Saccharomyces cerevisiae S288C: one gene and its partner. The protein of the gene in region 2 purifies or fractionates together with the protein of the main gene of each other region. This does not show direct contact. Each region holds a gene or a part of one and is shown on either strand. Other genes may lie near its edges. The genes, in order: TEF1 and YEF3.

Region 1 (3,717 bases), on a different chromosome or scaffold from region 2:
AACTGGAAAAGAACGGTGAATTTACCTGTCAAGTAAATGGCCAGATCGTAAAACTAGATAGCAGTTTGGTTACTATCAAAATGAAGACAACTTTGCAACATATACGAGAGTACATTCCTAATGTCATTGAGCCCTCGTTCGGTTTAGGTCGTATCATATACTGCATCTTCGACCATTGTTTCCAAGTTCGAGTGGATAGTGAGTCAAGAGGCTTCTTCTCTTTTCCATTACAGATAGCGCCGATCAAAGTATTTGTTACGACAATATCGAATAACGATGGCTTCCCCGCTATACTTAAGAGGATCTCGCAGGCTTTACGTAAAAGAGAGATATACTTTAAAATTGACGATTCCAATACTTCAATTGGTAAAAAATACGCCCGTAACGATGAATTGGGAACACCATTTGGTATCACCATAGATTTCGAAACTATAAAAGACCAAACGGTGACGTTAAGAGAAAGAAATTCTATGAGGCAAGTAAGAGGCACTATTACTGATGTGATTTCGACCATTGACAAAATGCTTCACAACCCTGATGAATCGGACTGGGATAAATCAACATTTGGACTGTCGCCTGTTAAGATATAACTGAAAAAAGAGGGGAATTTTTAGATACTGAAATGATATTTTAGAATAACCAGACTATATATAAGGATAAATTACAAAAAATTAACTAATAGATAAGATTTAAATATAAAAGATATGCAACTAGAAAAGTCTTATCAATCTCCTTATTTCTTAGCAGCCTTTTGAGCAGCCTTGGTAACCTTAGCGGCCTTTTCAGTCTTGTCAACAGACTTGATAACACCGACAGCGACAGTTTGTCTCATGTCTCTGACAGCGAATCTACCTAATGGTGGGTATTCACTGAAAGCTTCAACACACATTGGCTTAGATGGAACGAACTTGACCAAAGCAGCGTCACCGGACTTCAAGAACTTTGGATGGTCTTCCAACTTCTTACCAGATCTTCTGTCGTTCTTTTCCAACAATTCGTCGAATCTACAAGCAATGTGAGCAGTGTGACAATCCAAAACTGGAGAGTAACCAGCAGAGATTTGACCTGGATGGTTCAAAACAATGACGGTAGCGTTGAAAGAAGCGCAACCCTTTGGTGGATCGTTCTTAGCGTCACCACAGACGTTACCTCTTCTGATTTCCTTAACGGAAACGTTCTTGACGTTGAAACCAACGTTGTCACCTGGAACACCTTGTTCCAATTGTTCGTGATGCATTTCAACGGACTTGACTTCAGTGGTAACACCAGCTGGGGCAAAAGTAACAACCATACCTGGCTTGATGACACCGGTTTCAACTCTACCGACTGGCACAGTACCAATACCACCAATCTTGTAAACATCTTGCAATGGCAATCTCAATGGCTTGTCAGTTGGTCTAGATGGTTGTTCAATGGCGTCAATGGCTTCCAACAAAGTCTTACCCTTGACGACACCGGCCTTGGTTTCCTTTTCCCAACCCTTGTACCATGGAGCGTTGGTGGTAGCTTCAATCATGTTGTCACCGTTCCAACCAGAGATTGGGACGAATGGAACAGTCTTTGGGTTGTAACCAACCTTCTTGATAAAGTTGGAGGTTTCCTTGACAATTTCTTGGAATCTGGATTCGTCCCATTTGACGGAGTCCATCTTGTTGACAGCAACAATCAATTGTCTAACACCCAAGGTGAAAGCCAACAAAGCGTGTTCTCTGGTTTGACCATCCTTAGAGATACCGGCTTCGAATTCACCGACACCACCAGCAATAATCAAGATAGCACAGTCAGCTTGAGAAGTACCAGTAATCATGTTCTTGATGAAATCTCTGTGACCTGGAGCATCAATAACGGTAACTTGGTACTTTGGAGTTTCGAACTTCCACAAAGCAATATCGATAGTGATACCTCTTTCTCTTTCAGCCTTTAACTTGTCCAAAACCCAAGCGTACTTGAAAGAACCCTTACCTAATTCAGCGGCTTCCTTTTCGAACTTTTCGATGGTTCTCTTGTCAATACCACCACACTTGTAAATCAAATGACCGGTAGTGGTAGACTTACCAGAATCGACATGACCGATAACGACAACGTTAATGTGAGACTTCTCTTTACCCATTTTGTAATTAAAACTTAGATTAGATTGCTATGCTTTCTTTCTAATGAGCAAGAAGTAAAAAAAGTTGTAATAGAACAAGAAAAATGAAACTGAAACTTGAGAAATTGAAGACCGTTTATTAACTTAAATATCAATGGGAGGTCATCGAAAGAGAAAAAAATCAAAAAAAAAAATTTTCAAGAAAAAGAAACGTGATAAAAATTTTTATTGCCTTTTTCGACGAAGAAAAAGAAACGAGGCGGTCTCTTTTTTCTTTTCCAAACCTTTAGTACGGGTAATTAACGACACCCTAGAGGAAGAAAGAGGGGAAATTTAGTATGCTGTGCTTGGGTGTTTTGAAGTGGTACGGCGATGCGCGGAGTCCGAGAAAATCTGGAAGAGTAAAAAAGGAGTAGAAACATTTTGAAGCTATGGTGTGTGGGGGATCACTTGTGGGGGATTGGGTGTGATGTAAGGATTCGCGGTCCTCGAAAATTAAAAGTCCAACGCGCCTGTTGCTTCCTATGTGATATGTATTATATGTAATATGCATAAATATATCTACTGCATTGTATTTTGAACGTACAAAGTATGCATTGTTTATACGCTATTATCAGCCAAAGTTGGGTGGTCGCTTTCTGTTGTATGACTATTGATGTCTAGGCTGTCAATAATTTCGTTTTGAGCCTCCATGTCTCTGAAGAACTCCCTGTTGGCAAGGCTGGACGAAGAGGCAGATGGGGATGACCGTAGTCTTATGCCCCCTTGACGGCTGTTCCTGCCTCTGACTAAAGACCTCATTAAAGATTTCGTGAACCTTCTTGTCGTCTTAATTATCCCGTTGAAAAATTTACTCCAGCGAGACCCGTCCTCTATGAGGTCCCAGTGTGGTTGCTCATTTAAAGATGGCGATATGTCGTGTAACTCGTCGTCGTTTTTCAAATGCCTATTTAGTTTAGCATAGATCCATCTTCTCCCCGCAAATTCGACTAAAAAGAATATAGCGAAGATACCGATGAAGATACCCAAAACGTTAACTTCATTCTTTTTGTTTGAGGTGGGGCACGCATGAATGCTGCGGACTTCGAAGAAATACGAGCAATTGTGTAGGTTTCCAATGTATGATATCTGGGCCTTTGATTGAATTTCTTTATCGCAGACAAAATTCAATAAAGTTGCCTTCTTGTCCTTCCCGTTCGGGCACATAGAGCCGTTTTCGTATTTGAGAGTTAATTTCTTGGCAGTAGAGCCGCCGACTAACGCAGGCCTTGTACTGAAGTCTCCAATCGATACTAAATTATTTTCGTTCAACTGGTCTACGTAAAAAGCGCCCGTTAGATTGGACAGTTGTTGCGACTCAGCTTCTCCGACAGGACTAGAGCAGATGCCTAACGTGAAGTTTGTATCGTAGCCCCAACCTCTCACTGACCACTTCGTCTTGGAGGATTCATGCTTGTTATTGCCAGAAATCTGTTTTTGGCCCTCCCTTAATTTGTTGGGAGTTGAAGATAGCTGTGATAGATCTATGTATGATCCGGTGACTGGGTTGGTTACCGCACAAAATAGATCTTCATCGTTTTCGCTTTTGGGTTTATCCGGATTTGCTAACGTTCTTTTTTGCTTGTGAG
Region 2 (5,905 bases):
ACCCGTAGAGAGATAGAATATCGTTTTCATCTAAAAATCCTTTCTTCTTGATATCATGTAACGCGAAGAAAGTCTCTGGAGTGTAATCTTTTAGCTGATGCTCATGGTCCATATGCCACTCCTCCCAGGATAAACCATCAGGTGGTGCCTCATTTTCCACATTAATTTCAGATCCTATTTCTGCCGTGGCAGTTACTTTATATAGAGTGAAAGCCAAAGAAAATACAAATCCCCTCAAAAACCTCATTTCCACAATTTTAATAGAACAGGGATGAAAAAATTTTAGGTCTTGGCTCTTTTATCTTTTCTAGAAGGAATATAATATTACGCTCAATCATGTTTTAAAGCTTCCTAGTCTATGATCCGTCACCTATTTTTATTCTTCCAAAAAAATATTTTCGTTACCCTCTTACCGAAAAGGGTATGAGGCAATGCTCAATTTGCCTGAGCTTAAGAATGTATGAAAAAAAAAGATGTCTGACTAATGGAACGCTTTTTCTTTTAAATAATGCCTTTCTTTATAATAAGGAAGTTGCGTCTATATTTTACCAAAATAAACAATATTACAAAAACATAGAAATTAAAATATACATAAATTATTGATCAATAAAAATCTTAAAGAAAACTGTGAAAGCAGTGATCAAAAAGATTAGAATTCTTCGTCAGAAGAAACGTAAGCATCACCCAATTCCTTCTTCTTCTTCATTCTTTCCTTCTTCTTCTTTCTCAATTCCGCAGAAGACAACTTCTTCTTCTTCTTACCACCGGCAATCTTGTTACCCATAGCATCGAATTTATCTTCTTCGTCTTCCTTCTTTTCGATTCTTGGACCAGCACCTTGACCACTAACCCAGTTGTGACCAGATGGAGTCATTCTACCGTCCTTGACGGCCCAGACTTCTTCAGTCAAGTTCTTTGTGAATTCAGCAGAGTGAGTAATGATAATAACACCACCTTCAAATTCCTTCAAAGCCTTAGACAAAGCACCCAAAGAATCTCTGTCCAGATAGTTGGTAGGTTCATCTAAGACAATCAAGTGAGGTCTTTGCCATGTACCGGCAGCTAAGACCAACTTAACCTTTTGACCACCAGACAAACCTCTAATTCTGGAGTGAGAAACAATTTCTGGGTCCAAACCCAACATGGAACAATGTTCTTCAATTTCTTTTCTGGTTAATGGACGGAATTGACCAGAAGCCAAAGCTTCCTTCATATCAACTTCAGCAACCATCTTAGAGTGAGATTCAACCAATTCACCTCTTGGAATCCAAGCGTTGTCGACGGACATCATTGGAACCCATCTTTCAGATTTCATACCAATGTTTTCACCCAATAAGAAAGAACATTCATATTCGTAAGTGTTCTTGAACTTTCTTCTGGAGTGGATACCGGCAATTCTTCTAGGGGTACCTTCAATCTTGAAGATCTTGTTCATAGCTTCAGCATCGTTTTCGTTGATTTGTCTGTTAGCTCTGTCCATGGTTTCTCTATCTTCACCGGTTTGGAATCTCCATTGGATATATTCAGATGGAGTCTTGTCCAAATGAGATTCGATATGAGCAAAAGCGTGTTGCTTAATGTAAGCGATACGACAATTTTCGTGGGTGTAGACTTCACCAGAGGTTGGTAATAGTTCACCAGTCAAGACGTTAATCAAAGTAGACTTACCAGCACCATTTGGACCAATGACAGCAATTCTGGAAGACAAAGAACATTGGAAGTTAATGTCAGTGATTTGTGGCTTAGAGGTACCTGGATATTGGAATTCCATGTTGGTAACCTTGACAATAGCCTTTTGCTTAGTCTTAACACCTTCCAAGTAACCTGGTTCTGGGAACTTGAATTCCAAATCAGTGTTGGATAATTCTTCGTAAGCCTTAGCAGCTGGACACTTCTTAACGAATTCGGTAAAGTTACCCTTGTACTTTCTCAACTTCAAACCTTCGTAGTTAATAATATATTCACAGACGTTATCTAAGAAAACGGAGTCGTGAGAAATAGTGATAGAAGTGATACCACAGGTGTTCAAGTAGTTAACTAACCAAGCAACGTTGACGGTATCCAAATGGTTAGTTGGTTCATCTAACAACAAGATATCAGCATTTCTCAACACAGCTCTAGCTAGAGCCAACTTCATCTTCCAACCACCAGACAAAGCAGAGATTGGCATAGCAATCATTTCATCGGTGAAACCGAATTCAATCAATTTGTCCTTGATAGCTTCTTTAGTACCAACACCAGATTCGAAAACGAAATCCAAGACGGAAGTGTCAGAGTGAGTACCATCAATGTCGTGTTCGACGTAGACGGTTCTACATTCTTCTTGGGTTGGGAAACCATCAACTTGACCGTTGGCAATAGCTCTCATTAAAGTGGACTTACCACAACCGTTTGGACCACAGATACCATATCTTCTGGCTCTCTTCAATCTTAATTGGGTCTTGTTCAACAAGATTTTAGCACCATAAGCCAAAGAGAATTCACAGTTACATAAGTCTTCACCTTCGTCTTCTTCGTCGTCGAAGTTTGGACCAACTGGAATGTTGTCGACAGCTCTCTTTCTGAATTCGTCCAAGATGTCCTTGGCCTTCTTTTCGTGCAAGAAGATAGTCATGTATGGGGTGATGTGGGTGAACCAAGCTTGTTGGTCAATGATTCTTTCATCGATCAAATCAGCACCAATGGCGGCAATGTACTCGACGACAATCTTAAATCTTGGAGCAACGGTTTCGTCCTTCAACAATTCGTTAACGACTTGCAAAGTAGTAGAAACGTCACCAGCGTGAGAAACTTCTGGAATAGCATCGTCTTCACCAACGTTACCAACTCTTCTCAAAGTCTTCAAAGCTCTCAAAGTAACTTCTCTGGCTTCTGGGTCAGCAATGGTAGCAAAGTTACTCTTCAAACCTGGCAACAATTTACCCAAGAAAGGAGCAATAACTTGTGGGTCTTCGACCAACTTACACATGTTGTCAATAATAACAGCAGACTTACGCTTGATACCGGTTTCTCTTTCGTTCAAACCTCTGGACAACAATGGGACCATGATGGACAAAGTAGCTGGAGTAACTTCAGCAACGAAAGTAGTAGCACCTAACAAATGAACGGTTTCTGGAACTTCAGTTGGGTCAGCAATACATTGAATCAAACTTGGAATGAAACGTTCAATATCCTTGTTGTCAACAGTTTCGGTAGCCTTGGTCATGGCGGCAGTAGCAGCAGCCTTGACTTCCTTCTTGGTGTCCCACATGGTTTCAGACAAGACTGGAATCAATTCTGGCATTCTTAGGGCAACTTGATCCTTAGCAGCATCGACCATAGCAGAGATAGCTGCCAAAATAGCAATCTTTTCTTGCCATTTGTTAGTTTCGACAATAGCGTTAGTCAAATGTGGCAACAAAGCTTTGATGGCAACTGGGTTAACAGCGTTAACGATGGAAATCAAAGTTTCGGAAGCAACAGATTGAATTTCTTTGTCCTTGTTACCTGCGTTGGTACAGATAGCTGGAACCAATTGGACGATGTATGGTTCAACAGATGGAGACAAGTTAGATTGGTTAGCAATGTGAGCAACAGCTTGCATGGCGTTAGCAGCGGTCTTCTTGTCCTTGATACCCTTGGCCAATTCACCGAAGAAGTGTTCTGGAACATCATGTTCAATGATGTTACCATTCAAGAAAGAAGCGACTTCAGAAGCGATTTCGTGTCTGTTGTCAGCAGTGGCAACAGATAACTTCTGGAATAGTTCTTCTAGAACCTTAATGGATTGCTGGGAATCAGACATCTTTTAATGTTATCGATGGATTCGAACTAGAAAAATACACGGTTCTTTAGAAAACAATTAAGGAAAGAAAGAGAGCGTAAGAAAAAGAGATATTCTACAAAATTTTGATGCAAAAGGTTTTTATAAAACTTCTTATCTTATATGAAAGATGAGATGAGATAATTATACTCGAGGAAGCGAAAAAATTTTCACCAACGCAAAAAAAGAAAAAGAAAAAAAAAAAAAAAACATTAAAAACGTTTCTTTTTCACGTGCTAAGTGATCTAATAATTTAGGGTTATGCATGGGTGGGGCCGGATAAACCGCGGTTGAAAGTGATTAAACGGAGTCTTTTCTTTTTTTTGCTTCTTCGTTTCTTTTTTTAATTTCTTCTTTCTTCACGAATATTTATTACCCAGCCTGTCATGATTTTTTGATACGTAATTGCCCTGGTTGGGCCCTTTTGCGAGTGGCAGTAAGTATGGAAGGGGCGAACAATGATTGTAAGTTGTTTTTTTAATAGGGTAACGACCGGGTAAAATAGAAAGAAGTGTTGACTAAGAAACGGGAATCAACATTCACTTGCTTATCTTAAAATGTTATGTATATATACGCCCTGTAGATATGTATAAAATATATACTTGTAGAAGGAGTTTAATGTATATATATCTTTTAAAAAGGAATAGGTAAAAAGATTGAAACAGAAGGGAAAGTTGCTATTCCCTGATAGTGGCGCTTATTGGAATTGTAGGCCCTACGTCATTTTCTTGAACTTTTTTTCTTCTTTGCAGAATCGTGGACGTATCCAGCGTTAATTGGAACATATTTTGTTCCAGCTGTTCATCGCCTTGGGCGCCACTGTAACTATCTTCCAATTCTTCGTCCTCAGCAAGCGAGCCTAATCCTCCACGTGTTCCCATACGGTCTTCTTCGGTACGTTTCACAGCATTACCAATATCAAAGGCGTCACGCATAGCAACAGCAGCTGGTGAAAACAGTAGCGAGGAGTCTCTTTGAAATAGTTGGAATTGTTTCTTATGCGGATGGCGTCTTTCGGAAGTACCTGCTTTCTTTTGTGAAGATTCGCCCTCCTTTGGTAAACAATCGAATGTATTTAACCATGGGTCGTCCAAAAACTGGTCAATGTCGTATCTTTTAGACGGCTCTAGTTCTAATAGCTTAGCCACGGCATTCTTGGCACCGGCGCTGATTTCATCCCACCAAGGTTTCAGAAAGGTATACTCACCCCTTGATATTTTTTCAGTTAAAGTGTCAATTTTCTCATCATAGAATGGCGGGAACCCACATAACATTGTGTACAAAACGCAACCAATCCCCCACATATCCACTTTCATAGAATAATGCTCATCTTTGACAACTTCAGGGGCAGTGTAACCGACTGTACCACAAGGAGTCTTGGTGTTCTTGGAAAATATTTGTTTAGACAAACCAAAATCAGCTAGTTTTACTATACCAATTCCACCACCACCAACTCCTGGTGTGAAAATTCCCTCGTCTGCCTTTGTTTGCGGATCATCCGATTTCCTCAATTTTGGTTTTATAGAGCGTGTGAATTCAATCGGTTCAAAAAGAAGATTCTCAGGTTTTATATCACGATGCACTACACCTAGTGAATGCATATGTTTAACAGCCAGTGCTAATTGTTTGATTACATGCCTTGATAAATCTTCACTGAAATAGGTCAACCTAACAATTTCGCCGAAGATTTCCCCACCGGTTAGTAACTCTTGAATAATATAATAATAGCTATCTGTTTCTTGGAAGTCTATGAACGCGACAATTTGTGAACAACCAGCGGAAACCGTCTTATGTAGTGCAACTTCCTTCAAGACTTGATCTCTGGAAGAAGTTTTAGTGCTGTCCTTCCCTTTGTCCTTCTTACGATGATCACCATTAATCGAGGATAAATCTGCCTTTTTGATAACTTTAATGGCAACAGCTTTATAGTTTTTAGTTAAAAATTCATTAGAACTATTTTTAGCAGGTATGGCTCTAAAGACTTTTGAAAAAGCACCTTCACCGATTTTATTGATCAGCTTGTAACCTATCAATTCCTTTTGTTCGAGGAAGGATTTTTCCGGAATTTCATCTTCCATATTGTCATCATCAGTACTGTCATCC

What was found.
Region 1: the proteins of YEF3 (region 2) and TEF1 purify together in Saccharomyces cerevisiae (affinity purification with western blotting, with the first as the bait; 2 studies listed by BioGRID). This does not show direct contact.

What each region holds. Positions count from the first base shown.
Region 1 is NC_001148.4:698,987-702,703, reverse strand, and holds TEF1 (translation elongation factor EF-1 alpha), read right to left. Parts: upstream 2,111-3,717; coding exon 734-2,110; downstream 1-733. Other genes in the region: GRS2 (putative glycine--tRNA ligase), read left to right, coding at 1-590; MRL1 (Mrl1p), read right to left, coding at 2,690-3,717. UniProt on the Saccharomyces cerevisiae protein: GTP-binding component of the eukaryotic elongation factor 1 complex (eEF1). In its active GTP-bound form, binds to and delivers aminoacyl-tRNA to the A-site of ribosomes during protein biosynthesis.
Region 2 is NC_001144.5:634,659-640,563, reverse strand, and holds YEF3 (translation elongation factor EF-3), read right to left. Parts: upstream 3,785-5,905; coding exon 650-3,784; downstream 1-649. Other genes in the region: nucleobindin SSP120, read right to left, coding at 1-247; serine/threonine protein kinase RCK2, read right to left, coding at 4,480-5,905. UniProt on the Saccharomyces cerevisiae protein: Ribosome-dependent ATPase that functions in cytoplasmic translation elongation. Required for the ATP-dependent release of deacylated tRNA from the ribosomal E-site during protein biosynthesis.